7 linked regions of the Macaca fascicularis genome follow. The protein of the gene in region 1 purifies or fractionates together with the protein of each later gene. This does not show direct contact. Links are inferred from orthologs where the notes say so. Each region holds a gene or a part of one and is shown in the gene's direction. Other genes may lie near its edges. The genes, in order: L3MBTL2, HDAC1, E2F6, LIN54, YAF2, MGA and TFDP1.

What was found.
Region 2: the proteins of L3MBTL2 (region 1) and HDAC1 purify together in Homo sapiens (affinity purification with mass spectrometry; 3 studies listed by BioGRID and IntAct, counting the BioPlex papers as one, with this or other methods). This does not show direct contact. The link is inferred for Macaca fascicularis from reciprocal best matches to the Homo sapiens genes L3MBTL2 and HDAC1.
Region 3: the proteins of L3MBTL2 (region 1) and E2F6 purify together in Homo sapiens (affinity purification with mass spectrometry; 5 studies listed by BioGRID and IntAct, counting the BioPlex papers as one, with this or other methods). This does not show direct contact. The link is inferred for Macaca fascicularis from reciprocal best matches to the Homo sapiens genes L3MBTL2 and E2F6.
Region 4: the proteins of L3MBTL2 (region 1) and LIN54 purify together in Homo sapiens (affinity purification with mass spectrometry; 3 studies listed by BioGRID and IntAct, counting the BioPlex papers as one, with this or other methods). This does not show direct contact. The link is inferred for Macaca fascicularis from reciprocal best matches to the Homo sapiens genes L3MBTL2 and LIN54.
Region 5: the proteins of L3MBTL2 (region 1) and YAF2 purify together in Homo sapiens (affinity purification with mass spectrometry; 5 studies listed by BioGRID and IntAct, counting the BioPlex papers as one, with this or other methods). This does not show direct contact. The link is inferred for Macaca fascicularis from reciprocal best matches to the Homo sapiens genes L3MBTL2 and YAF2.
Region 6: the proteins of L3MBTL2 (region 1) and MGA purify together in Homo sapiens (affinity purification with mass spectrometry; 3 studies listed by BioGRID and IntAct, counting the BioPlex papers as one, with this or other methods). This does not show direct contact. The link is inferred for Macaca fascicularis from reciprocal best matches to the Homo sapiens genes L3MBTL2 and MGA.
Region 7: the proteins of L3MBTL2 (region 1) and TFDP1 purify together in Homo sapiens (affinity purification with mass spectrometry; 4 studies listed by BioGRID and IntAct, counting the BioPlex papers as one, with this or other methods). This does not show direct contact. The link is inferred for Macaca fascicularis from reciprocal best matches to the Homo sapiens genes L3MBTL2 and TFDP1.

The regions. Positions count from the first base shown.
Region 1 is NC_088384.1:10,392,789-10,396,383, reverse strand, and holds part of L3MBTL2 (lethal(3)malignant brain tumor-like protein 2), read left to right. Parts: intron 1-726; coding exon 727-861; intron 862-1,189; coding exon 1,190-1,278; intron 1,279-2,071; exon of another isoform or gene 2,072-3,595. UniProt on the Homo sapiens protein: Putative Polycomb group (PcG) protein. PcG proteins maintain the transcriptionally repressive state of genes, probably via a modification of chromatin, rendering it heritably changed in its expressibility.
Region 2 is NC_088375.1:202,695,158-202,698,752, reverse strand, and holds part of HDAC1 (histone deacetylase 1), read left to right. Parts: intron 1-2,911; coding exon 2,912-3,050; intron 3,051-3,508; coding exon 3,509-3,595. UniProt on the Homo sapiens protein: Histone deacetylase that catalyzes the deacetylation of lysine residues on the N-terminal part of the core histones (H2A, H2B, H3 and H4).
Region 3 is NC_088387.1:110,643,093-110,647,237, forward strand, and holds the start of E2F6 (transcription factor E2F6), read left to right. Parts: upstream 1-1,262; 5' UTR 1,263-1,541; coding exon 1,542-1,649; intron 1,650-4,145. UniProt on the Homo sapiens protein: Inhibitor of E2F-dependent transcription. Binds DNA cooperatively with DP proteins through the E2 recognition site, 5'-TTTC[CG]CGC-3'. Has a preference for the 5'-TTTCCCGC-3' E2F recognition site.
Region 4 is NC_088379.1:50,826,711-50,831,060, forward strand, and holds the start of LIN54 (protein lin-54 homolog), read left to right. Parts: upstream 1-1,532; 5' UTR 1,533-1,693; intron 1,694-3,664; exon of another isoform or gene 3,665-4,004; intron 4,005-4,350. UniProt on the Homo sapiens protein: Component of the DREAM complex, a multiprotein complex that can both act as a transcription activator or repressor depending on the context. In G0 phase, the complex binds to more than 800 promoters and is required for repression of E2F target genes.
Region 5 is NC_088385.1:48,808,619-48,812,703, reverse strand, and holds the start of YAF2 (YY1-associated factor 2), read left to right. Parts: upstream 1-1,284; 5' UTR 1,285-1,349; coding exon 1,350-1,375; intron 1,376-1,818; coding exon 1,819-1,944; intron 1,945-3,699; coding exon of another isoform or gene 3,700-3,901; exon of another isoform or gene 3,902-4,085. UniProt on the Homo sapiens protein: Binds to MYC and inhibits MYC-mediated transactivation. Also binds to MYCN and enhances MYCN-dependent transcriptional activation. Increases calpain 2-mediated proteolysis of YY1 in vitro.
Region 6 is NC_088381.1:18,268,758-18,272,352, forward strand, and holds part of MGA (MAX gene-associated protein), read left to right. Parts: coding exon 1-204; intron 205-3,595. UniProt on the Homo sapiens protein: Functions as a dual-specificity transcription factor, regulating the expression of both MAX-network and T-box family target genes. Functions as a repressor or an activator.
Region 7 is NC_088391.1:104,028,639-104,032,055, forward strand, and holds part of TFDP1 (transcription factor Dp-1), read left to right. Parts: intron 1-951; coding exon 952-1,103; intron 1,104-1,465; coding exon 1,466-1,632; intron 1,633-2,745; coding exon 2,746-2,824; intron 2,825-3,417. UniProt on the Homo sapiens protein: Can stimulate E2F-dependent transcription.

The DNA.
Region 1 (3,595 bases):
GATTACAGGCGTGAGCCACCGCGCCTGGCTGGAAACCCCAATTTATAAAGTTTGTTCCAGGGCCGGGTGTCGTGGCTCACACCTCTAATCCCAGCACTTTGGGAGGCGGAGGCAGGAGGATTGTTTGAGCTCAGGAGTTCGAGACCAGCCTGGGCAACGTAGTGAGACACTGTCTCTACAAAAAATGAAAAAAATTTAAAAAGTAAAATTCATTCCAGGGATGGTCAGGTTATAGGGAATTAACTCTCAGCACCATGCCATAATGCTTTCCTAACTAGGAGCATGAATTTGATTGACTAGGACTGTTGTGGACAACAGGAACACACGTGCCTGGAAGTATAGGTGCCGGAAGTCCAGCTTAGGCTAGAGACAAGAGACGGCTTAACAACATACCTTCCCCAGGCCGGGCGCGGTGGCTCACGCTTGTAATCCCAGCACTTTGGGAGGCTAAGGAGGGCAGATCACAAGGTCAGGAGATCGAGACCATCCTGGCTAACACGATGAAACCCCGTCTCTACTAAAAATACAAAAAAAATTAGCCAGGCGTGGTGGCGAGCACCTGTAGTCCCAGCTACTCAGGAGGCGGTGCTTGCAGTGAGCTGAGATGGCGCCACTACAATCCAGCCTGGGCAACAGAGCAAGACTCCGTCTCAAAATAATAAAAAAAACACAGCATACCTTCCCCAGCTCACCCTCCCTCACAGGTGCCCTTTCCTTTCTTTTCAGGGTATCGGGTGCTGCTTCGGTACGAAGGCTTTGAAAATGATGCCAGCCATGACTTCTGGTGCAACCTGGGAACTGTGGATGTCCACCCCATTGGCTGGTGTGCCATCAACAGCAAGATCCTCGTGCCCCCACGGAGTGAGTTGATGAGAACATTCCCTCTCTTGTTCGTGCAGGGCCCCTGGTAGAGGGAGAGTCCTCTGCTTGTGTTAGGTAGAATGGGAGTCCTCTGTCTTGTTAGAACAGAAGCCACTTGCCCCCTGGCTTCCTGCCCTCCCCGTCTCAGAGGCCCAGGAGCCAATCCATGTGTGGAATCTGAGGTTCTCGGATGAAGTCCTTGCTGGCCTCGAGAGGCAGCTATTTTCCTCCCCACTGCTGAGGGGCCCCCACTCGGGGTCGGTGCTAGCGTCCCTGTCGGTGGAGGTGTCGTCAGTCTGTAACCAGGATTCTGCTGGTGCCTCCACAGCCATCCATGCCAAGTTCACCGACTGGAAGGGCTACCTCATGAAACGGCTGGTGGGCTCCAGGACGCTTCCCGTGGATTTCCACATCAAGGTCGGCAGTGAGCCCTTAACTGATGTCCCTTCTTCTGCTCTTCCATTTTTCTCCATCCTCCATGCTACTCACTGGAGCATGTTATCTGAGACTCTCTTGCCTGATGATCTTCAGCAGCTCCACATTTTGCAAGGCTGGAGACAAATGCTGCTGCTACATGGTTGCCATCTGCCTTTCTAGCCTGGTGTCAGCCACCACCCCACCCAGACTCTGCTCCTACCGCACCAGTCATGCTGCTTTGTCTGCCTTTTGCTCTTCCAGAACCTTACCTTTGCTCATAGAATTTTTCGGAAGTGTTCACTCAATAGATTTTATTACATATTTTTTTTTTTTTTTTTTTTTTTGAGACGGAGTCTCGCTCTGTCGCCCAGGCTGGAGTGCAGTGGCGCAATCTCGGCTCATGGCAACCTCTGCCTCCCGGGTTCACGCCATTCTCCTGCCTCAGCCTCCCGAGTAGCTGGGACTACAGGCGCTCACCACCATGCCTGGCTAATTTTTTTGTATTTTTAGTAGAGATGGGGTTTCACCATGTTAGCCAGGATGGTTTCAATCTCCTGACCTCGTGATCTGCCTGCCTTGGCCTCCCAAAGTGCTGGGATTACAGGCATGAGCCACTGTGCCCAGCCTTTTTTTTCTTTTTAAGACAGAGTCTCGCTCTGTTGCCCAGGCTGGAGTGCAGTGGCACAATCTTGGCTCACTGCAACCTCTGCTTCCTGGGCTCAAGCAATTCTTCTGCCTCAGCCTCCCAAGTAGCTGGGATTACAGGTGCACGTGCACCATCATACGTGGCTAATTTTTGTATTTTTAGTAGAGATGGGGTTTCACCGTATTGCCCAGGCTTGTCTCGAACTCCTGACCTCAAGTGATCCACCCACCCCGGCCTCCCAGAGTGCTGGGATTGTAGGCGTGAGCCACCGTGCCCAGCCTTACATACTTGTTTACAAGGCAATGTGGGAATACAAAGAATACAGACCCTGCCATCCAGAAATCTTTAGTCTGGCAGAAGAAACGAAAGCCATGCACACGAGTAATTGTAATACAGCCTCGGTTCTAAGCCAGGGGTGTGCCTGGCACAGTACAGGCTAAGGCCTGGCCTGGGGCCCCTCTGGGCTGTCGGATTCTGTCTGGTTTAGGACTCCTGTGTGGCACAGAATCATCTGTTTGGCATTTAATTTTAAGAAATGATTTAGGCCGGGCGCGGTGGCTCAAGCCTGTAATCCCAGCACTTTGGGAGGCCGAGACGGGCGGATCGCGAGGTCAGGAGATCGAGACCATCCTGGCTAACACGGTGAAACCCCGTCTCTACTGAAAAATACGAAAAACTAGCCGGGCGAGGTGGCGGGCGCCTGTAGTCCCAGCTACTCGGGAGGCTGAGGCAGGAGAATGGCGTGAACCCGGGAGGCGGAGCTTGCAGTGAGCTGAGATCCAGTCACTGCACTCCAGCCTGGGCGGCAGAGCGAGACTCCGTCTTAAAAAAAAAAAAAAAAAAAAGAAATGATTTAGTAAAAATTAAGTCACGTGTACATGGTAAAAGTGACTCATACCTGTCTCAGTGTCTCAGCACTTTGGGAGGCCAAGGCGAGAGGATTACTTGAGGCCAGAAGTCCGAAACCAGCTTAGGCAACACCGTGAGACTTTGTCTCTTAAAAAAAAATTAGTTGGGCTGGGCACAGTGACTCACTCTGTAATCCCAGCACTTTGGGAGGCCAAGGTCGGCAGATCACCTGAGGGCAGGAGTTCCAGACTAGCCTGGCCAACATGGCAAAACCCCGACTGTACTAGAAATGCAAAAATTAGCTGGGTGTGGTGGCACACACCAGTAATCCCAGCTAACTCAGGAGGCTGAGGTGGGAGAATTGCTTGCACCCGGGAGGCCGAAGTTGCAGTGAGCCGAGATTGTGCCCACTGCACTTCAGCCTGGGCCACAGAGCGAGGAGACTCCATTTCAAAACAAAAACAAAAACAAAAATGGCGTAGGATTGTGGGCTGCACTGTGTTGGCTGTAGAGGAAGAGAACGTGGCAGGGAAGGCAGCCCAGAGGGGCCCTGAGCCAGGCCTTACCCTGCGTTGTCTCTCACTCTCCTGAGTGAGCCTCTGGGATACCAGACGTGGGACAGGCAATTGGTGTCAGGGCGTATCCCAAGCCCTTGAGCTGGGCCAGAGGGTCTGTCTGGTTTAGGACCCCTGTGGCAGCTTTGCCTATTGGCTGCTTTGTGACCTCTGAGACCTTTCCTTCTGGGTGTGTTTGGAAGTAGCGCTGCTTAGTCTAGGCTCCGCCGCTTCCTGACCCAGCCGTGCCCTGGGGCTGGAAAAGCCT
Region 2 (3,595 bases), on another chromosome or scaffold:
GGTCCTGTGGTTTTTACTTAAGTCTCTAAAGTGGCTGGTGTAATGTCTCACACCTGTAATCCCAGCACTTTGAGAGGCTGAGGAGGAGGATTGCTTGAGGTCAGGAATTCAAGACCAGCCTGGGCAACGTAGTGAGACCCTCGTGTCTACAGAAAAATAAAGTAAAAACAATTAGCTGGGCATGGTGGCTTGTGCCTGTAGTCCCAGCTACTCAGGAGGCTGAGGCTTAAACCCAGTAGGTTGAGGCTGCAGTGAGTCGTGGTCACACCACTACACTCTAGCCTGGGCAACAGAGCAAGACTCTGTCTCCAAAAAAAAAAAAAAAGTTTAAAAAGTCTCTAAAATGTCCTTCTGGTTCAGTCCCAGCCCAAGTTCAATCTCTGACATGGTACTGACAGGTGTCCTTGACTGTCCTCTCCTACTAAGAGATCTTATGTACAGGAGTTCCCTGCAGACCTCCTGGGGTTGTTAAGATGCTGTATGTAAAAGCAATTTGTGAACTGCAAAGTGCTATAAAAATGGAAGTGTCATCATCTGTGAATCTGTCCTATGAAAAAGTATGGTCATTACCTTTAGAGGTCAGAAATACTCCCCACGTGTCTCCCACTTCCATTTGCAACTTTTGGGTTATCTCCAGGATGACTCCCTTTCTTAAATATTTATTTCCCTGTGATCCCCCACCAATATAATCATTGTGTCCACCCCCGCTGCCCGGCCAGTATAATCGCAGAAAACAAAGAAGTGCACAGAAAAAAACACAGTCACCCATAGTCCCAGGGTTGGTGGATAACCTCTGTCACCATGTTGGTGTTTGGCCATTCTTTGGTGTGTGTGTTTATATCTGTATAACACATATACAACATCTACATTTTACAAAAGTAGGTTATATACATATCACATATATATGGTTTTATGCCTGCATTTCCTACTTAACGAAATTGTCTGTAGTTTTCTACAGCTTGCTTTCTTGTGGCTCTATGATTATTCCATGTTGTGGATTTACTTGAGTTGATCTAATCTGTCCCTCTTCTTGATAATTTGGATCTATCTATGCTTTTATTGCTGTTAAAATCAACACTGCAGCCGGACACGGTGGCTCACGCCTGTAATCTCAATCCTTTGGGAGGCCGAGGCAGGTGGATCACCTGAGGTCAGGAGTTTGAGACCAGCCTGGCCAACATAGTGAAACCCCATCTCTACTAAAAAATACAAAAATTAGCCAGGCGTGGTGGCGCACGCCTATAATCCCAGCTACTTGGGAGGCTGAGGCAGGAGAATTGCTTGAACCTGGGAGGTGGAGGTTGCAGTGAGCCGAGATCGCGCCACTGCACTTTAGCCTGAGTGACAGAGTGAGACTCCATCTCAAAAAACAACAACAAAAAATTAACACTGCCGGCCGGGCGCGGTGGCTCAAGCCTGTAATCCCAGCACTTTGGGAGGCCGAGACGGGTGGATCATGAGGTCAGGAGATCGAGACCATCCTGGATAACATGGTGAAACCCCGTCTCTACTAAGAAATACAAAAAACTAGCCGGGCGAGGTGGCGGGCGCTGTAGTCCCAGCTACTCGGGAGGCTGAGGCCGGAGAATGGCATGAACCCGGGAGGCAGAGCTTGCAGTGAGCTGAGATCCGGCCACTGCACTCCAGCCTGGGCTACAGAGCGAGACTCCGTCTCAAAAAAAAAAAAAAAAAATTAACACTGCCACAAATGCACTTGCACACATGAGTGTGTATTTCTCTTTTACTTCTTCTGGGGCCTATTTGTGCTAATGCTTTTTTTTTTTTTTTTTTTTTTTGAGACGGAGTCTCGCTCTGTCACCCAGGCTGGAGCAAGGTGCCCGGATCTCAGCTCACTGCAAGCTCCGCCTTCCGGGTTCCCGCCATTCTCCTGCCTCAGCCTCCCGAGTAGCTGGGACTACAGGCGCCCGCCACCTCGCCCGGCTAGTTTTTTGTCTTTTTTTGGTAGAGACGGGGTTTCACCGTGTTAGCCAGGATGGTCTTGATCTCCTGACCTCGTGATCCGCCCGTCTTGGCCTCCCAAAGTGCTGGGATTACAAGCTTGAGCCACCGCGCCCGGCCGTGCTAGTGCTTTTTGACCTAGTGTATCGGCACTATCTTTGGTCATTTTTTTTTCTTCCTTTCTTTCTTTCTTTTTTTTTTTTTGAAGTAGAGTCTCCCTCTGTCACCCAGGCTGGAGTGCAGTGGCGTGATCTTGGCTCACTGCAACCTCCGCTTCCTGGGTTCAAGCGATTCTTCTGCCTCAGCCTCCCCAAGTAGCTGGGACTACAGGTGTGTACCACCACGCCCAGCTAATTTTTTTTTTGTATTTTTAGTAGAGACAGGGTTTCACCATGTTGGCCAGGCTGGTCTTGAACTCTTGACCTCAGGTGATCTGCCCACCTCGGCCTCCCAAAGTTCTGGGATTACAGGCGTGAGCCACCGCACGTAGCCTATCTTTGGTATTTTTTCAAAGTTCCTTGACCATGAGCCATAGTAAGAAATAAATTTACACATGCAATCCAGGATACATATAACACATATGCATGCATGCACACACTCACTCACTCTGAAGCCAGTTTTACAAAAGAGCAGTTACCTTTACTGTTACTCTGATATTTTTTTCTATGCTATTTCATTAAAAATATATATATACTAATAATGATGCACTAAATCAATTTTAAGGCCTGCTAATGGGTTACTACCCTCAGTTTGGAAAATAGTATTTTAAGAGTAGCCAGTGTCATGTTTATTTCCTGCTGGAGTAGGGTGGGAGGGAGGGGACTAATCTATGAATTGTACAATACAGCTGTTGAATAGGCAGGTCTTAACCTCTCACTTGGTTCCCTGGGCTTCTTGGAAGAAGGGGAGAGTGGCTTAGTAACCAGCTTATGTTCTCTCTTCCCATGCCCAGCAAGTGCTGTGAAACTTAATAAGCAGCAGACGGACATCGCTGTGAATTGGGCTGGGGGCCTGCACCATGCAAAGAAGTCTGAGGCATCTGGCTTCTGTTACGTCAATGATATCGTCTTGGCCATCCTGGAACTGCTAAAGTATGCCTGCCTGGCCTTGTCTCTTGGAAGAGCACCTTAGGCCAGGTTCCCATTTCCCTTTCCCCCTGGGCTTGCCTCCCTAGTTTGCTTTTCCTACCGATGTGCTGGCTAGGATGTGCTCGGTGAGTGTCTCTGGCCATCATCTCCTTGATGGGGTCTTGGTTTGAACTGAGCCACGGCATGATCAGGGGCAGGTGCTGCTCAGATCCTGCCTCCAGAGTGTCCCTGTGTGGCTGGAGTTGACCCTGGCTGTAGAGTAGGAAGATCGGACTTGGTCGGCTTGGTCAGGCCTCTGGAGACACCTGGCCGCTCTTCCACCTTCCTTCAGCCAGTTTCCACGTCTCTGGTGCTTAGAGATACCTGAGGGAGGCAGCCAGCCCGGTAAGCTGGGACCTGGCGCCCTTGGCGCGTCCCATCCCCAAAGAGCCCCCAGACCCCTGACCCCCTTCTGACCCTAGGTATCACCAGAGGGTGCTGTATATTGACATTGATATTCACCATGGCGACGGCGTGGAAGAGGCCTTCTATACCACAGACCGGGTCAT
Region 3 (4,145 bases), on another chromosome or scaffold:
GGTAATGGGGAAAAAAAAAAGATTAGAGACCTCTGACATCATAGTCTAGTGGGGAGCCAGCTTCTTCAGGGATTTCTCCCTGCCTCACCTCGCCCACCTCAGGCTGTGTAGAAACCCCCAGTCTAACCGGTTGTTTCCCTCCAACTCTGTACACACCACGGTGTGTTACCTTTTTGTTTCAAACATGTGCTGGCCTCTGTTCTAATCACAGCAACCTGTATCCATTAATCCATTTAATCCTCACAACAACCTTATCAGGTAAGTATTGTCATTATTCGCATTTTCCAAATAAGGAAACTGAGGCACAGGCAGATTAAGTAACTGGCTTAATAAGGTCTTCTGGTTTATAAGTAGGAGCCAGGATTTGAAAACACACCTCTGGCTCCAGCTTAATTAACATGCTCTGTTTACTTATCTGTCCCCACTGAAATTGGAGGTTGAACCTGTGGCATATCCAAATGAGTAAGTATCGCCTGTGCTCACCCCAATATCTGACACTATAGGTCCACGATAACTCATTCATCAAACAGGAAGGAGGGAGGAAGGAAGGAAGGAAGGAAGGCAGGAAGGAAGGAAGGCAGGAAGGAAGGAAAGAAGGCAGGCAGGCAGAAGTAAAACGATACCACAATGGTTTGGTTGCTCACATTTACTAAGCATCAACACTGACCCGCCTGTAAGATGTGCTAACAGAGCTCAGGAATAAATGAAGGCCGGGCGTGGTAGCTCATGCCTATAATCCCAGCACTTGGGAGGCCAAGGTGGGAGGATGGCTTGAGCCCCAGAGTTCAAGACCAGTCGGTGCAATATACTGAGACTCTGCCTCTACTAAAATTAAAATTAAAAATTAGCCGGGCGCAGTGGCGCGCGCCTGTAGTCCCAGCTACTTGGGAGGCTGAGGTGGGAGGATCGCTTGAGCCTAAGAATTCGAGGCTGCAGTGAGCCCTGACCACGCCACTGCACTCCAGCCTGGGCGACAAAAAAAAAAAAAATTAAAATTAAAAAAAGGAATAAATGAACATCTTTGCGGCTGAGAGCTTTCAGTTATCACCGTCGAGAATTCCAGGCGAGCGCTGCGTTTTCCCAGCTGCCTGTTTTCTCTCACCCCCGTTCCCTTCCTCTGGAATCCGGCTCCACCTCTTCCTTTTCCTTTGCCAGCCTCTCCGTGGATTCCGCGGTCCGGGTTTCCCGGGCGCCAGCCGCCGGGAGAGGATCGGTGCGTGGGAGCGCTCCGGCCGCGGCGGGCATGCGCAGAGGGGGGCGGTACACTGCGCATGCGGAAAAATGGCGGGCCGGGCTACTTGAGAGCCGCGGGTCTACCTCCTCCTTTCCCGTCTTCGTCGGGAGTTCCCGGGCACGTGAGGCAGTGCCGCGTTTGCTGGCGGGTGGGACGGCCTAGCCGGGCGGGGCCTTGGAGGACGCCGCGGATCCGTCAGTTTCTGGGCCCTTGGAAATCGGCGCGTGGGGGGCGGTGATCGAGCTGCGCGCGAGAGGGCGGGAGAGCTCGCGGGGTGCGAGGGGAGCGGGACGCCCGGCCGGGCAGCATGAGTCAGCAGCGGCCGGCGAGGAAGTTGCCCAGTCTCCTCCTGGACCCCGCGGAGGAGACGGTTCGCCGTCGGTGCCGAGACCCCATCAACGTGGAGGGACTGCTGGTAAGCTCCGGGACGGGAGGGGGACGGGCGGGGGTCTCCCAAAGCTGGCCCCCTCCTCCCCGCGCCGCCGCCAACCCCGCTGGCCGTCGTCTCGGTCGTCTGCTCCCCCTGGGCCAGGCGCTGCCCATCACGTGCTGCGAAACTGCGCTCTCCCGCCTTCTGCTTTCAGCATCTGTTCACAGACGTGGTGTCAGTCTTCTGGACTTTTACATCGGAACTTCAGGGCACTGTTGGAGAAAATTGCTCAACTTTGCATTGGAAAGGCCATGTTTTTCTCCTTCAGTGGACTCTAGCTGTATCTCTGCAACCTATCATTTGTTCTTCTACCTTCTCTCTCTTCTGCTCTACTGCAGCCGTTTAAAACCTTGTCCACGCTTTATATTTACCACGCCACAGCTCCCATTCATAAAATTATCTCCCCACCTGTTTGACGGAGAAAATGGTTAGGAGATTTGGCTCCCTTTCCCACAAAGACTGATTTCTTCTACTCTTGTTCTGGACCAGATACTGTATTCCCCGGTTCTCAAGGTCCTTAACAAATGCGTTCTTTTCCATTCCTCCCGTATTTTCTTTTTCTTTTTTTGAGATGGAGTTTTTACTCTTGTTCCCCAGGCTGGAGTGCAATGGCACGATCTCAGCTCACTGCAACCGCCGCCTCCCAGGTTCAAGCGATTCTTCTGCTTCAGCCTCCCATGTAGCTGGGATCACAGTCATGCGCCACCACACCCAGCTAATTTTGTATTTATAGTAGAGACGGGATTTCACCGTGTTGGCCAAGCTGGTCTCGAACTCCTGACGACCTCAGGTGATCCACCCGCCTCGGCCTCCCAAAGTGATGGGATTACAAGGCGTGAGCCACCGAGCCCGGCCTCTCCCCATATTTTCAATTTCTCTGCTGCTTTCTTCCTATAACTAGTAGTAATTAAACATTTTCCCAAGTCATTATGCCTGGTCCCCATACCAAATAGTTTGTGATTATTGTCTCATTTAATTTCTCACAGCAGTGTTTTATAATAGTAAAAGACTATTATTCTTGTTTTACGGTTGCCAAAACAGACCTGGAGATGCATGTAATGCCGGCTTGCCTGTGGCTAGATAGTAAGTGGAGAAACTTGGGTTGAACCTCCAAATGTCTAACTCCAGATGATAAATTCTTGACTACTAAAACCACATTCTCAATCCATCCCCATCTTAAAAGATCCCTCCCTTAATTCCATATCCCTTGCCATCTACTGTCTCTCTTCCCCTTCACAGCTAAACTTCTTGAAAAAGTTATTTACACTCACTCTTTCCACTTGATCGTCTCATTATCAGCCAACCCACTGCTGGGGACCCCTATCCTCAGCACACTTGTGAGACCATTCTAACCAGGGTCACCGACAATCTCGTCAATTCCAGCAGCTGTTGTAGTTTTGACACAAAACTACTTGTGTTGGAAACTCTCCCTTGAGTTTCCTTGACATTGATGTTCCATCTGCTTCTCTGGGCTCTCCTTGTCCTCATCCTCTTCCCAGTCCTTCATTTTTTTTTCCCCCGAGACAGGATCTCACTCTGTCACCCTGGCTGGAGTGCAGTGGCACATCCTGGCTCACTGCAGCCTTGACCTCCCAGGCTCAAGTGATTCTTCTGCCTCCACCTCTCTAGTAGCTGGGACCACAGGCACATGCCACAAGGCCTGGCTAATTTTTTTATTTTTAGATATGGAAGTCTTCCTGCGTGGCCCAGGCTGGTCTTGAACTCCTGGGCTCAAGCTGTCCTCTCACCTCAGTTTCCCAAAGTGCTGGGATTACAGGTGTGAGCCACCGTGGCTGGCCACATGTTGATGATATTCAGGGTTCTCTTCTGCTGTCTCTACACATTCTTCTTAGGGGAGTTCATTCTCTCCTCCCATGACTTATGTTACCGTCTACATTTGATCCTTGAACGACTCAGGGTTTGGGGCACCAAATCACATGAAATTCAAAATCTGAATATAACTTTGATTCCCCCAAAACTTTACTGTTTCCTGGAAGCCTTACTGATACTGTAAACAGTTGATTAACACATATTTTGTATTTACATGTATTAGTTAGTGTATTCTTATAATAAAGTAGCTAAAGAAAACGTTATTAAGAAAATCATAAATAAGAGAAAGTCCTACTCATTCAGGGGAATTAGATGATCGTAAAGGTCTTCATCCTTGTCTTCACACTGAGTAGGCTGATGAAGAGGAGTAAGAGGAGGAGTTGGTTTTGCTCTCTAAGTTGTGGCAGGGGGTAAAGAAAATTGGCATCTAAGTGGACCCACACAGTTCAAACCTGTGTTGTTTGAGGATCAGCTGTATATTGGTACCATCTGTATTGGTCGTCTTAATATTTGAGAATTTGATAAAAACTCTAAGCTCACTGTGGAAAAACCACTTAGTTTGCATGCAATATCAGCAGATACATCGCTTGAAATCTTAGACATACATTTCTGGTATTTTCAGTTACCATATCGTAATTCCCAAATCTATAA
Region 4 (4,350 bases), on another chromosome or scaffold:
AACTCCTGGCCTCAACCCATCCTCCTGCTTCGGTCTCCCAGAGTCCTGCGATTACAGGTGTGAGCCACAGCACCAGATCAATAACATCTAAATAATCAATTTTCCCTTCATAACAAAATCATAGTGAGAAAGGAAGTTTCCCTTCTCTTTTTTGGGCACTGTTTGTCTTGGGTTTTAGTATGAGAGTTATGCTGCCTTGTGGAATAAACTGGGAAAGGGTCTCCCTTTTTTGAGATTTGTTTGGTCTCTCTAAAATCTAGCCAGTTTTGGGTACCCCATCGCACTCTCTTCTTCCTTCCAGTGGTGCGCCAACAGTACCATCAATCATTTTACCATGAGGATTTCTCACACTAGCTCTCAAGGTTCCTCATAAAGTGGGCTCACAATGCTGATCTCCAACAAAGCCTTTGTGTCTTTCAACTTTATCACTTTCCTTGCACATGTCACAGACCTTACCATTTTCAAGGCTTTGCTAATTTCATGACATCTGCCTTGTTAAATCCTGACTATTAGTGTTTGGGCTGGTACTGGGTGTTGATTATGGCACAAGGGAACTAACATTTTAGGCAGAGACAGTGTACCTGCTTAGCACCCTTCATTTTATTTAATCATCAGAATTCTGGGAAGTTTTGTTATTTTTATTTGCTGGATAGGAAAATAAACGTTATACACTAATAAACGGAGGTGCCACTAAATACCAGTACCGCTTGATTCCAAAGTGATTGCTGCCTCCACTAGTTTCACCTCCTCCATTGTGTTCTCTAGGTAGTCTCTGATGCTGACCTGTATGTCCTCCGTGCTCCATTAGCAAATTATACACTGTACCGCACCATCTTACATTTACACTCTTGTATTTTCTATTTTTTCATATCTGTAGTGCTTGTCTCACACACAGCAGTTAATAATCTCTCAGAATAATTTTTCTTTTTCCCCTCAGAATGATCTCTCAGCGTCTGGTCATCCGACTCCGTATTTGGATATCATATAAATCGCGGGAAAAAATAAAAGGTGATTAAATACAAATAATTTTGACTGTGTTAGTCTTAGCTGTGTGTTGCAAGAAAAAAACAAAAGGTCTCTTTCAAAATAAGTTTAACTCTCAATGATCTCCCTGGGGCTTTTTAGCGACCCCTGCAAAATTAGTGCCTAAAAACACAGTGACTTGGCATTTGTGACTACTGATCACCTCCTCACTCAAGCACATCAAACAGCGGGATATCCTGGAAGTCGCACCTACAGCTCACACTTCCTAACAAGGAAAGCTAGACGAAGGGACGGTCTTTCCCAACAGCAGCGCGATGCGGGTCCTCCCCCCACCAGCTTCAGTGGGATGGAACATTCCGTGCGATCGCTTTGACCGGGCGCCACTCGGAGTCACGTGGAGCTGTAGCGCCCCGGCGGAGCCGGGCGGAATAACGCGGGCTCCGGTTGCCAAGGGGAGGGGCGAGGCACCGCGGAAGAGGCGGAGCGAAGGAAGCCGGCCGTGGGGCGGGGTGCTGAGCGCAGGGGCGGGCAGAGAGGGGCGCGCGGGCGGGGAGGGCCCGGCGTATTATGGGATGCGGCGGTGGAATGGCGCTGGGCGCGTGATTTTGAACAAACCCTGGTCTGTGTCTCGGAGGCGCCGCCGCCGCCGCTGCTGCTGGGAGCCCAGGGAGCGCCGCGCGACCAGGAGGCGGCGGCGCCGCCGGCTTTGGTGAGTGTCAGCCGCCGGGATGGGAGCTACTGGGCGGGCGGGCGGGAAGGGGGAACCGGCCCCCGCTGCGAGTGGCTGCGCGGGCGGAGAGCGCTGGACCGCTCCCTCCGGGAGCCCGGGCCGGTGGGCCTTGGCGGGGAGCGGGAACCCGCCAGCGGGGTCAGCCGCGCCCCTTCCCTGGGCTGCGGGGGGCGGAGGATCCTCGGGGCTCCGTCTCTTCCCGCCGGCTCCCGGGAGGGTGGCTGTCACCCGGCAGGGCCAGCGCTCGGCCAGCCGCCTGCCTGGCGATCTGGAGGAAGGGCTCCCGCGGCTGTTGACACGCACACTGCGCGACCCAACAAGCCGGCCGTGGCTGCCCTGGGTTTCTGGGAACCGGTTTTGCTGCTGTGTCATTTTGTGCCAGTCCCTCCTCTCCCTACTGCCCGCCGCCGCGTTCTTCCTATGCCCCTTTGTATAGGCTCTTGTTCGTGCGTGTCCGTTTTCCTCGCGAAGCCCACCAGCCAAATGTCATAATGTTCCCGAGGTGCACGGGGGAAGGGAGCGGGCCGGGACTTAGCTTGGACAGCAACGGTAAACAACCAAGCAGAGTGCGGATGGACGGGGCCGTCAGTAGGGAAATGAAGTTTAAAGATGAAGTAACTGATAACACTTTACACTCTCAGCATCTGGCAGTCTGCATATAAAAACAGCAATTGGGGTGGGTGGTAAACAGCCCTTGTTGAAGGCTGAATCTACCGACTTTTATATGGAGTTGCCATTGAAACAAGGTAGGGAAATGAAATGACTTTTTCAACTTCAACCTTAATCTTCTTACACTAACTTAGACAGTAGAGTGGCCCTGTTCGCAGCCTTGAAATTCAGTTTGCCCAGAGCTTATATTGTAGTTGAATGATAAAGAATTAAGTTTTTGGTTGGTTAACTCTTTTTGAAATTGACAAAGGCAGCCAGTTTCCTTTTTTTTTTTTTTTTTTTTTTTAAAGTGTTGGTCTCAGAAGAAGCCTTGCAGCTTATGTTTTGTTATTTTTTAAATGATTAAGAATTACCTCTGTTCTCTTTTGGTTACTTATTCAACTGACTGATGACAGGAGCTGGTAACTCTTACTTACCTAGTAGGTAACTCTAGGGTCTTGTTCTGAAGCAAGCTGTTTATTTTCACTGTATTGAACAAATATATCAGCAGCAGATGGTTTTTTTTTTTTTTTTTTAATTTGATGACTTAGATCCTAAAAACATTTGGCAAATACTTTTAGCTTAGAGTTATATTTTCAATATTTTAGAAATTGATCATTCATGAATGTTTCTACAATTAGTTCAATACATTTTAAATCTAGTTGCGCTTTGACGTCTTAAACCGATGACAGATTGGAAGTCACAGTGTTCATGGACAGAAATGACCAGATAAAATTAAGTTGGAGAGGAAGACAGCTCAGAACTTTATTTTTTAAAATGAAGTGTTTTGACCAGCTCACCTGCATGAGGATTGCTGCCTGTAATTGACAAAGGTGTCAAAGGTCGAACATGCATATGGAAATAGCTCATCCTGTCAAAGTAGTTCCGCAGGTGGGGTAAAATGTCAAAGTTGGTGAATGACATTAAGGGTCTTCACAGTGTTTTTGGTACCTGAGATAGCCACAGTGAATAAAACGCATTCCACCATCTCTCTCAAGTTGCTGCTCTGAAAATAAAAGAGTTTGGGTTCTTTATTGTCCTTATGCCACCCTCCGCATGGCTTTTGGTCTTGCAAACAAAAATATGCCGGACTTGGGACCCCGCAGGTGGCGCGACTTCCTTTGGCGTCCCTGCGGGGGCCCGTGCTCCGCCCGGGGGTGAAAGGTCTCGGCGTAGCCGGTGTGCACTTGCACGGCCCTTGTGCGTTTGAAGGTTGGCGGGGCGGCGGGAGGCTTCCCCGGATATGTGGGTGTGCGCCTCCCGGGAGGGGCGGGCGGGGAGGGGAGGAGGAAGGGGGAGGTTACTGGTGGTGGCGGCGGCGGCGGCGGCCCGGGCTCCGGCTGTCGGGGAAGCTGCTGAGCTGTGATGGTGATGACGAGGTGAAAATGGCGGATCTTTCGAAATACAATCCCGGCCCCTGACATACCAGAGGCGGCGGCGGCGGCGACGTCGCCACCCCGGCTCCCTTCTCGGGCCCCGGGTACCCTGAAGCGCTCCAGTTTGGACAAACTGGGAAAGGAAGCTGTTGGCCAGAGCTATCGTGCACGGGCAAAACAAGCCCCGCCGGGGCTCGGGATTGCCCAGGACCTTCTGGAGCCCCCACCTCGGAGCCCGAGGGAGGAGAAAGCGGCAGCCGCTGGAGGTAGAGGAGGAGGGGGTACCCGAGGGCTTCTCTGTCTGGAGATCTCTTTATTTGGGGGGATGGGGGTGGGTGGGGAAAGAACTGCGCTGTGGATCAAGGAATGACTTGTCCGGAGTGCGAAGAATCAGTAGCCTCGTCATGACATCAACATTATTCTTTGAGTGTTAAGAGGGCTCCAGTTTGCTCTTATACCTAAGGCTGCTGCTGAGGCCTAGAGGAACCGCTAGCACTTAGCATGATTTCCTGATACAATTTTTAAAACAGCCACTCTGGCGGTTGTTGCTTTGATGGTGTTCAGCAGTTCTTGGGGTTGTATGTTTCTTTAGGGAGGCAGAGCATTGGCATT
Region 5 (4,085 bases), on another chromosome or scaffold:
AACCCTGGACTTCTGACTGTACCATTTCCTTTGTAGTTTAGCTATGAAATTATCATTTTACATGAATTCGGAATTGATGTAAACCTAGAAAGATGGACAGAAACAGCACTGTTAAAGAGGGATCTAGTTTATGCAGAAGTAACCCATGTGCATTGTCAGGAGGCAGCTTTTCTCATGGGAGAGGGATGCAGAGGTAGGGAAAATGTGTGAAGCCTTTAAATGCCAGGCTAAGGAGTGTGGGAGTCGTTAGTGGTTCTTGATCAGAGTGGTGGCATAATATTAACAGCATTTTATTATTCATCTGGTTGTGGACTACTGAATCGATTGGGGAGGTGGAAGTGGAGCTTCGGAGACCAGTTTGATGGCTGTTGCTGGAGTCTGGAGTATGAGGACCTTTATTTAGTATATTGAGGTAAAGAGACCTGGGAAGGTGTTCTTTTGTTAGCAGACAGCGTTGAGGGGACATGTAAACTCCTTATATTTAAAAAGGCCTTATGAGTATGTATTGGGTTTCTTTCAAAAGCAGCTACTGCAGAGGCCTGAGAGGCCAAAAGGGTGCCTTTGGAATTAGAGCAGAGTTAGACTCCTGGCTTTGTCATTTTCTAATTATGTAGCCCAGAGGAAGTCACCTAACCTCTCTTGAGTCTTGATTTCGATTCCTCTAAGTTAGGGGTGACAAGCCCTACTTGTTTGAGCATCTGTGTAGCGCTTTAAGGCATCTAGCAATGGCGCTGCGTGTTGGTTCCCGCCTTCCCCGTGGTGTCCTGCAGGCGGGGACTGAGTAGCTAAGGACGGCGGAGGCCAGGAAAGTCGTTCTACCTGGAGACCCCGGGCTGGCACTTCTGTCCAGACCTGGACAGGCCTCCGAATGCCAGACCTTGGACCAGGCTTCGCACGGGATGACTGAGCATCCCAAGCCAGTCGGTGGGACAGATATTTTCCTCCTCAGAGGGGCTCTGGAGCGCGCGGCAGCCCCTGGCAGCCGTGGGTACCGAGAGGGCGACAGGGCAACAGTGCGGTGAGGCGGCGCCGGCTCCCGAGGCCGAGGCGTCCACCTCCGCACCGCCCGCCGGCTAACTCGCCGCGGGTGCTGGGCCGCGCTGGCCGCGTTTGAAGTCTCCGGCGCGGCTGCTGGTTGGCGGGCGCGGGTCACGTGCGCCCAGGCAGGAGTTTCCCCGACAGCTGGAGGCTGCGTGGGATCCGGCGGCGGCTCCCGAGCGCGGCGGTGCGGCCTTCCCCGCCCCCTTCCTCCCTCCTCCCCCGCCCGCTTCCGCCCGGCTTATTATCCTCCTTATTGACAAACAGTGCGGCCGCGGCGGCGACTCTCAGCGTGCGTTGATAGCCAAGCCATGGGAGACAAGAAGAGCCCCACCAGGTAACAGCGCCCGGGCCCCGGGGCCCGGACTGTGCGGGCGGCAGGGCCCTGGTGCAGGGCTTCGGGTGGCTGCCTCGCTCGCCGCCCGGGCACCGGGGCGAGCACGGGGGCGGCGCCGCTGGTGTGCGAGTGCTGCCGCGTGAGGGGGCCGGCGCCGGCCGCCCCACAATGGAGCCGCGATGGCGGCGGCTACCGGAGCGGCAGCCCGGGTGTCAGAGCGGCTGTGGCGGCGGCGAGTGCGGCCGGGCTCGCGCCCTGCCTCTTCCTGACTTCCTTCCCCCTTGGAGCCGGAGCGCGGCGCGCCGAGGGCCCGCCGGGGGCCCGCCGGGCGGGGGTCGCGGAATTGGGGCGGGGGGCGGGGCGGGGGCGGCCGCAGGGCCCGGGCGCCGGGCGCGGCCTGCTGGTGACCCCGCGCCGCGTCGTGTCCGGGTTGTGTCCTGCAGGCCGAAGCGGCAGCCGAAGCCGTCCTCGGATGAGGGTTACTGGGACTGTAGCGTCTGCACCTTCCGGAACAGCGCCGAGGCCTTCAAGTGCATGATGTGCGATGTGCGGAAGGGCACCTCCACCCGGTGAGTCCCAGGCCTGCCCCGCGCGCCTCCGTCTGGCGGGGTGACGACCAGGGGACGCCCCTGCGGCTGCCGCCCCGTCCCATGACATTCGCGGACCCGGCGGGAGGAGGCGAGACGGAGGTGGCTGTGGCGATAGGAACTGGGTCACATTGATCGCAACCCAGGCGATGGTTTGCGGTGAGGGGTAATTGAAGAGGCTGTAAGGTTTTTTGCTGCCAAGAGAGAATAAATTATTTATGGGAGGCATTAGCTACTGCGATTTAATTCGTATCGCCGTGTGTAATGTCCCTCTCCCCACTCTGGGTATAAAAATGTTGGCTGCATTGTTGTGTTAGTGTGTAGGGATCAAGGAAAACCCATAAAATCCTCTTTAGGAGCAAAGGATGTAATTTAATTTCGTTCCTAAAAAAAGAAAACTATCTGATTGCAGAATACACAATATATTAAACTTCTTTTCTATATGGACTTCTGGAAGGGTCAGATCAAGGTTTTATTTAGTGTTTTTATTCCAGTTCTCTAATATTTTATAAATAAGTAGTTGGAGATGAGCCCAGTCACAGGAACAGATTTTTACTGAAAGTACCTGCATATCTTTAGTTTGATTAAATGGCAGTCTCTTAGACAAATGAGATGAAAAGATCTCTGCCCATTTTCAGACTTTATTTATTGTAAGCTTGCAGTATAATAACTCTGTTTTTTAAAAAACGACTTTGAATTAAGTGGATAAAGAAAATCATCCAGGAAATTCAGTCTGGCATTCTTAATCTGTCAGCACTTAGTTATCGAGCTCCTTGATTTTTATAGGAAGGTACCCTTTGAATTAAATATAATCCTGTGATTTATTACTTAATATGTAGAGAAGATATATATTTTGATGTTACAAAGTTCATTAGAGACTAAACTATAACAATAAGCATACTAATCTATCTTACTGTTGCTTTAAAAAAGGCATATATGATATTGACATATGCAAATATTCAGTAGACGTTAGATTTCTAAAAAATGTGATCTTGATTTTTTTTTAAAACACTACAGAATTTTATTAAGTTTGAAATGTAGAGACAGGAATGGTTGACAGTAACTTATTTGAAAATTTTCTCAGTGAAGCTCGCTGGCTTTGACATGCTTATTTTTTGTAAATATTATATGCTTTTTGTATATTCCCACAATGGATAAAATATTTTGTACATTTTTCATATTCAAAAAGAAAATTTTCAAACATATTCTAAATTTAAGGGATTACAGCAGAACATTCCAAAAAGAAAAAAGTATATACTAAAATGATTGTGGTTACTAATTTTGGACCCATTTATTCTCATTTACAGTGGATAAAATATTTTGAACATTTTTTATGCTCAGAAAGCCAACTTTTAGACATGCTAAATTTAAGGGATTACAACAGAACATTCCAAAAAGAAAAAAAGTATTTGCTAAAATGATTGTGGTTACTATTTTTGGACCCGTGTTTTGTGATTTAAGTATTTTGAAAAGCAGAGTATCTTAATGGCTGTGTAAGGTTGGAGTTGGTTTAGAGTGTATTTGTATATCCGTGTTAGTACTTTGTGCTTTTTAAAATGCTTAGTAAACAATATTTAGAAAATTCGTTTTTTGGAGGCAGGAACATTAAAGTGGAGACAATTATTATAATCTTGATCTCTGGTACTATATATTATTGCTTTTTGTTGTTCCCTCTCTATTTTCTTGTAGCCATTAGAAAAATACTGAAACTAGAAGAGCCTATATGTTTATTTGCAGGGACAGCAAGGAAGGGGGGAAGCTGGTGTCCTACTCCACAGCCAGTCTTGGGATTAGAGGAACCCTGAGAAATAGAGTAGGTGGTGGCAGCTCAGAAGAGAAGAAACAGGCTGAATACCTGGCACCTGGAAGAAGAAGGAATATAGTACACAGGGGAGTTGGCCCAGGACAGAGAAGTGGGCCTAGTTTAAAAGAGGCTTGAGGCCCACCTGGGGGCCCCTGACTTTTTTTTTGTTTTTAACCGGTACATCCGAGCTCTTGTAGATCCAATTTTTAGTGGTGGAAACATTACTTGAGGAGGACTCAGAGAAGCATTGTCATTTGGATTGAAACTGAAGAGGCTCTGGGCAACTCACCAGAAATCTAAGGGACACTGTGTTCCTGAA
Region 6 (3,595 bases), on another chromosome or scaffold:
TTCTGGTCATCGGGTCCGTCTTACAGAAGGTCAGGGGTCAGAGATACAACCAGGTGATTTGGATCCTTTGTCGAGGGGTCATGAAACATCAGGCAAGGGTTTGGAGAAGACTTCCCTTAATATAAAACGAGACTTTCTTGGTTTCATGGATACTGATTCAGCACTTAGTGAAGTTCCTCAATTGAAGCAAGAGATTTCTGAATGGTAAGTAGTAGTTTTTCTGTTCTTAGAAATAAAAGGAAGATTGAGATGGGCCAGGTGTTGGATTTAACATCTTGGTTCTGTGGAATGCTACACATGTTGATAAAGTAAGTCACTATAAAATGTACTACAACTGCTTTTACAGTCTGTGAAATGACAGATAATTTTTCTGTAATGAGAATCAGTTGGGTTCAGGATCTAGAATTGTAGGCAAATTGGATAACTTATCTGAATTATTCGTATGTATTTAGAATGTTCCTTGACATCCTTGGGGGATTGGTTCCAGGACCACCCGAGGATACCAACACCTTACTACATTTGAGACTCCGTCTCAAGAAAAAAAGAAAATCATACCAATTGTGACAACATAGATGTGCCTAGAGAATACTGTGCTAAGTGAAATAAGCAAAACAAAAAAGACAAATACTGCAAAATATTCATAAAGGTAGAAAGTAGAATGGTGGATGCCGGGGGTAGAGAAAGACTGAAAGATGTTGGTCAAAGGGTACAAGGCTTCAGTTATGCCAGGTAAATTTTAAAGAAACAGTAAACATGCTATTTTAACTAGTAATAATTTTCAGCTGCTTCTTTGGGCAATTTATGGATTAGGATATCCCTCAGGCAGTAAATTCACAAGTATTAGGTACAAATAATGACTGTAAATGCATTTTGTGCCTTGTGTAGATAAGTTTTGTTTCCATTATGATATGGGGTTTTCTTCCCTTCTTCAATTATAGTAGGCCCGCCACATCTTCTGGTTCTGCATCCACAGATAAAACTGGCCAACTAAGGTACTTGAGTATCCTCAGATTTTGGTATCTGGGGAGGGTCCTGGAACCAGTCCTCCTCAGATACAGAAAGTCGCCTGTAATCATGAGTTGTCTATACAATCAGTCTTCCATGGAGGCTGCAGCTGTGTGTTCAACCAACCACAAATCCAAAATATTTGAGATGGGCCGGGCGCGGTGGCTCAAGCCTGTAATCCCAGCACTTTGGGAGGCCGAGACGGGCGGATCACGAGGTCAGGAGATCGAGACCATCCTGGCTAACACAATGAAACCCCGTCTCCACTAAAAATACAAAAAAATTAGCCGGGCGTGGTGGCGGCGCCTGTAGTCCCAGCTACTCGGGAGGCTGAGGCAGGAGAATGGCGGGAACCTGGGAGGCGGAGCTTGCAGTGAGCCGAGATCGTGCCACTGCACTCCAGCCTGGGCGACAGAGCGAGACTCCGCCTCAAAAAAAAAAAAAAAAAAAAAATTTGAGATGGGATGGGGGGGGAGGATTTCACAAAGTTCCAAAAAGCAAAACTTGAATTTGACTATTGTGAATGATACTGTTGTTTCTTTTTGTTTGAACTTGCCTTATTTTTGTTTGTTTATTGTTTTTGAGATGGAATCTCGCTCTGTTGCTCAGGCTGGAGTGCAGTGGCGCCTTCTCGGCTCACTGTAACCTGGGGCTCCCAGGTTCAAGCGATTCTCCTGTCTCAACCTCCCGAGTAGCTGGGATTGCAGGTGTGTGCCACCATGCCTGGCTAAATTTTTTGAATTTTTTTTTTACTAGAGATGGAGTTTCACCATGTTGGCCAGGCTGGTCTCAAACTCCTGACCTCAGGTGATCCACCCGCCTTGGCCTCTCAAAGTGTTGGAATTACAGATGTGAGCCACTATGCCCGGCCTGAACTTGCCTTATTTTTATTTTTATTTATTTTTTTTTTGAGACGGAGTCTGGCTCTGTCGCTCAGGCTGGAGTGCAGTGGCATGATCTGGGCTCACTGCAAGCTCCGCCTCCCAGGTTCACGTCATTCTCCTGCCTTAACCTCCCGAGTAGCTGGGACTGCAGGCGCCTATCACCACGCCCGGCTAATTTTTTTGCATTTTTAGTAGAGATGGGGTTTCACCGTGTTAAGCCAGGATGGTCTTGATCTCCTGACCTCGTGATCTGCCCACCTTGGCCTCCCAGAGTGCTGGGATTACAGGTGTGAGCTACTGCGCCCAGCCATTATTTTGATTTTTAAACCCAAGTTCAGCAAAAGTAAAGAAATCCCTGCACACGAATTCCCTTTACTTTCCTTTTCTTGCTAAAATTGTAGGCCACTAACAGCTACTATTTTTTTAATTTGGAATCACCATGCTCATGAGTTCCCCTTGCCTTGTCTATGAGCTGGTTATTGCTTTGCTTTTTCTAAGGATTGTTGCAGCAGGAGTAAGTGCTACTCAAGCAATGCATACAGTTTTTTGTCAAAGGGGAAAGGTTCTTTCGGGTTATACTTTTTGCTGTGGTATTGTTTGTAATTGCAACTGGTGGATGCCGTCTTTAAACTTGATTCTTCAGCCACAGCTTAATCATCTTGATTAACATAATTAAAATGGATTTAAACAGTTGACCACAAATTATATTTTTACCCTTGTTATCCAGAAATAGTTGAGTGTACCGTTGGATGATGCAGAATTTATTAAAATTCCTTTGGAGGATAGGGCCTGGAGAAGTTCTTTAGGTTAAAGGGTCAGATGTATGTTGGTTTGTTTTTTGAGGCAGTGTATGGCTCTGTCACTTAGAATAGGGTGCAGTAGTGCAATCACGGCTCACTGTAGCCCTGACTTCCTGGACTTGGGTGATTCTCCTCCCTCAGCCTCCTGAGTAGCTGGAACTACAGGCATGCATCACTATGCCTGACTGATTTTTTTGTATTTTTAGTAGAGACAAGGTTTTGCCATGTTGCCCAGGCTGGCCTCAAACTTGTGAGCTGAAGTGATCTGCCAGCCTTGGCCTTTCACAGTGCTGGGATTACAGGCATGAGCTGCCATACCCGGCCAGGCTTATTTTTTTTGTTATAGAAAGCAGCTGTTGGGATTACATATGGTTGAGCTTTTGATTTTAATGAATCAGGAGAGTGGTTCAGATTTATTAACATGTAGTATCGCTGTCACTGAAGGGAGAAAAGCAACTCGAATCATGCTCCAAGAAATAACATTATCTTTATGTGTGAAAATGGTATTTAGCTCTGTGTAAACTTTTTCTCTAAATGCTTGATATGGGAGCAGAAATTATTTTTAGGCGAGAGTTGGGCAAATCTGGCCTATAGCTTATTTTAGTGTGTATACAAGAATATGTGACAGACCATAGATGCTTGTAAAGCCTAAAATATTTACTATCTGTTCCTTTACAGGAAATAATTGCCAACCTCTGATTTAAGGGTCTGAAAAATTATATACACATGCGTGTGCACGTGCACACACACACACACCCCCCACACTATTTTCCCATTTTCTATTCAGTTACTGATACATGATTGCTTTGTCATTCTGCTTTGTTTTAGCTAATGCTATTGGTAAATGCACTGATCTTTAGGCTTTATTTGCTACATTTGCTGTTGCTTGACCGTTTTCTCCTACTT
Region 7 (3,417 bases), on another chromosome or scaffold:
ACTGTGGTGGGCGCAATGCACCTGGGTCTTGACAGTGCTGATCAGGGCCCTGGAGCTGGCCTTCCCCACCTCCCACTGAGTGCTGAGGGTGGGCGGCACCCCTGGGGGCCCCGTGTCTGGTGTGGAGGGGGTCGTGTGCAAGGTGCTCAGTGCAGAGCTGACTGCTGCTCTGGCCGAGGTGTGCTCGAGCCCTCCCAGAGGGGATGGTGTGGCAGCCATGGTGATGGAGACTCGTGGGCGAGAGCTGCTCAGGGCCACAGAGTCTGTCAGGAGGGACAGTCCTGGTTGCCAGTGCCTTAGTACCTGCCTAACGGGGATAGACCCAGGGTGGCCGGGAGAGGAAGGGAATCTCCTGGCTCTACAATAATAGCAGAGAAGTTCTCTCCAAGTGGAACACTTGGTTTGGGGCCTGAGGCCCTGGCCCTGGGTTCAGCCTTGCAGGGCCCATTCCCCCAGAGGAGCACCCCTGCAACACACGGGCCCTTCCGCGTTCTACTTCCCAGGGTGGGCGAAGTCCACGGCATGGCACCCCTCCAAGGCTGTCACCCTGTAGGTGCCACGGGGGTGGGTGGCCTCAGAGGGGTGAAGGACAGCAAGAAATCGACTTCCAAAATTGGTGTTTTGTTGAGCACCCTTGCTGTGGTGGACGTTTTCATCACGGGCACAGATGACTGTGAGGTGTGAGCACTGTTCCCATGGAGGACACTTTTATCACGGGCCCGGATGGCTATGCGCCCGCTTTCCCTTAGTTCTTCCCTCAGGATCTCGTTTCCTGAGCGCTTTTGTCCCTGGGCTGCAGAGGTCAGCACCCAGCTGCTGGTGCTGGCCTTTTCAGATGTCCAGGCCAACTTCTCACTGTTGCCTGGGCGCAGGGAGGGCTGTGAGGACCCCTCGAGCACAGGGACTGTGTTCTCGTGCTGCCACGGGCCACCTGGCTCCTCCTTTTTTTAGCAAATTGCCTTCAAGAACCTGGTGCAGAGAAACCGGCATGCAGAGCAGCAGGCCAGCCGGCCGCCGCCACCCAACTCAGTCATCCACCTGCCCTTCATCATCGTCAACACCAGCAAGAAGACGGTCATCGACTGCAGCATCTCCAATGACAAGTAGGTTGTGGGCGGGGAGCCATTCTCTGGTCGCTTATCTCTTTTTGAGGGAGCTGACCCCTTTGGGATTGTCACGAGGACAAGTTTTAAATGTTGCACAAATAGCCGGGGTTTGCTGTCCATTGTGGGGTGGTGGGAGGCTGTGTCCCGGGAGCGTGTGCCTCAGGGCATGTCCTGGGAGAATGGACCTCGATTTGCCTCTCACCTCATTTACTGCGGAGTTTGTAAATTCTGTGAGGAGATGCTGATGACTGGGAATGTGGAGGCTGTGTGTGGCGGTCCGTGGGTCAGCTGTCCTGGCCCCACCGGTTACCGGCTCCACTGGGAGACCCTGTGTTTCTGACTGTGCCTTTCCCCTTCAGATTTGAGTATCTGTTTAATTTTGACAACACATTTGAAATCCACGATGACATAGAAGTGCTGAAGCGGATGGGCATGGCTTGTGGACTGGAGTCGGGGAGCTGCTCTGCCGAAGACCTTAAAATGGCCAGAAGTCTGGTCCCCAAGGCTCTAGAGCCGTACGTGACAGGTCAGCGATGCCCAGACAACCCGGCGTGGCTGTGTGAGGAATGGCTCCCAGCCTCGGATGGCGCCCTCCCCTCCCAGCTTGGGATGTGTCTTGCTGAGATTGGGCCCACGTGTGTAGGGCCAGGAGCAAAGACAAAGGGGCTATGAGGGGCATGGGGGCGGGGGTGTGGCTGGGGCGGGGTCCAGCCAGTGCCATCACCCACTGGATGTGGGGGCCTTGAGTCTGCAGGTGGCTGGTGTGGATTTCCCGTGTGGTTTGTATGAGGAGATGCTAAGTCAGGATTTTACCCTCCACGTAGGCCCAGAAGTAGAAGTTGACATTCTTTGAGAAGTGCAGTTGGATTGCTGATCCCACCCACTGATGGTAGCTGATTGGTCACTAGGGCAAAGTAACCAAGAAAAAGCGTTTCAGAGTCATTGGCGTCCTGCTCCGGAGGGCCGGGAGCACAGGAGCTTTTGTTGAAGGAACTTTTTTTCTGTTCTGGTGAATTCTTTCCGTGGGGCCGTAGGGTCCCAGCCACTGACAGCAGAATGGCTTTAAGGTGAGAAATTGTGAAAGTGCCATATCTGCTGATCCTTCTCTTGTCAGGCTAAACTTGGGGTGTGGATTTATTCCCCGAGAGGGTCAGAGATTCCTCCCTGAGCTCCTAAACCACTCCAGATCTTGTGAAAATCTGGCTGGTCCATGTTGTCAGGTGACAGTGGGCTCCGGCCGCCCACGTGGGCTGAGCCCTGACCCCGGCCTCTGTCCTGTGCTTCGTGGAACCGCCAGGATGGGCTGTGGGAAGAGGGTTTCAGCTCGACACTTCATTCTGTTCTGTTTCACGATGGGTGTGATACTGATGCAGAAGCACACGTGTGCCGTTTGTAAGTCAGTGTGTGCAGGTATTTATTGCAAGGCTCTCTGTGCCTTTTTAGAGAAGACAGGCTTATGTGACTGCACAGGGATGTCCTGCTCCGTGGCACAGTGCAGAAAATACTGGAGAAGTGAAGGATATCTGGAAGCTTTTCCAGCCGTCTGTCCTGTGGCGCTGCGTGTCATTTTGTTGGTGGCCTGTGCGTCTTGTGTTGTTTCTGTTTCATGACCATTCGCTTATTTTCTTTCCCTTTTCAGAAATGGCTCAGGGAACTGTTGGAGGCGTGTTCATCACGACGGCAGGTTCCACGTCTAACGGCACAAGGTTCTCTGCCAGGTGACAGTGGTTGAGGGTGTGGGAGAGGCATCGTCTAGGCCTCCCCCAGGGTCCAGGGGCCAAGGCAGGGCAGCCGTCTCGTGTGGCCATCAGGTCCGAGGCTGCTCCAATGTGGCTTGTCTGTCCAGGCAGTGGGGCCCTGCTGGCTTTCCCTGTGTGGCTTTCCCTGCTTGTCTCAGTTGGTTTTTGCTCACTAAAAACTAAAAGTAATACATGGTGGTGGATTTTTTCAAAGTATCACCTAATAAATAAAGTAGGAACGAAAACCACCCAAACCCTCCTGTCCCGGGCAGCCCAAGTAACAGCAAGTATTTCTAGGTTTTTTTCTCCCATTTTTCAGAACACATCTGCAGTCACAGTGCACGTCTTTTTCAGAACGGTCACAGTGCATGTATTTTTCAGAACGCATCTGCGGTCACAGCACACATATTTTGTTCCGTGCATTTTTCAGCTTACATTTTATTGTATTAATATATATAGTTTCTATGCTATTAAAGGGCCTTTATTTAAATAAATTTGTATTTAATCTATAACCTGCAATCCCATAGAGTAGAATGATGTCCCTAGGTATTGATCTTAGTGCTTCAAAGATA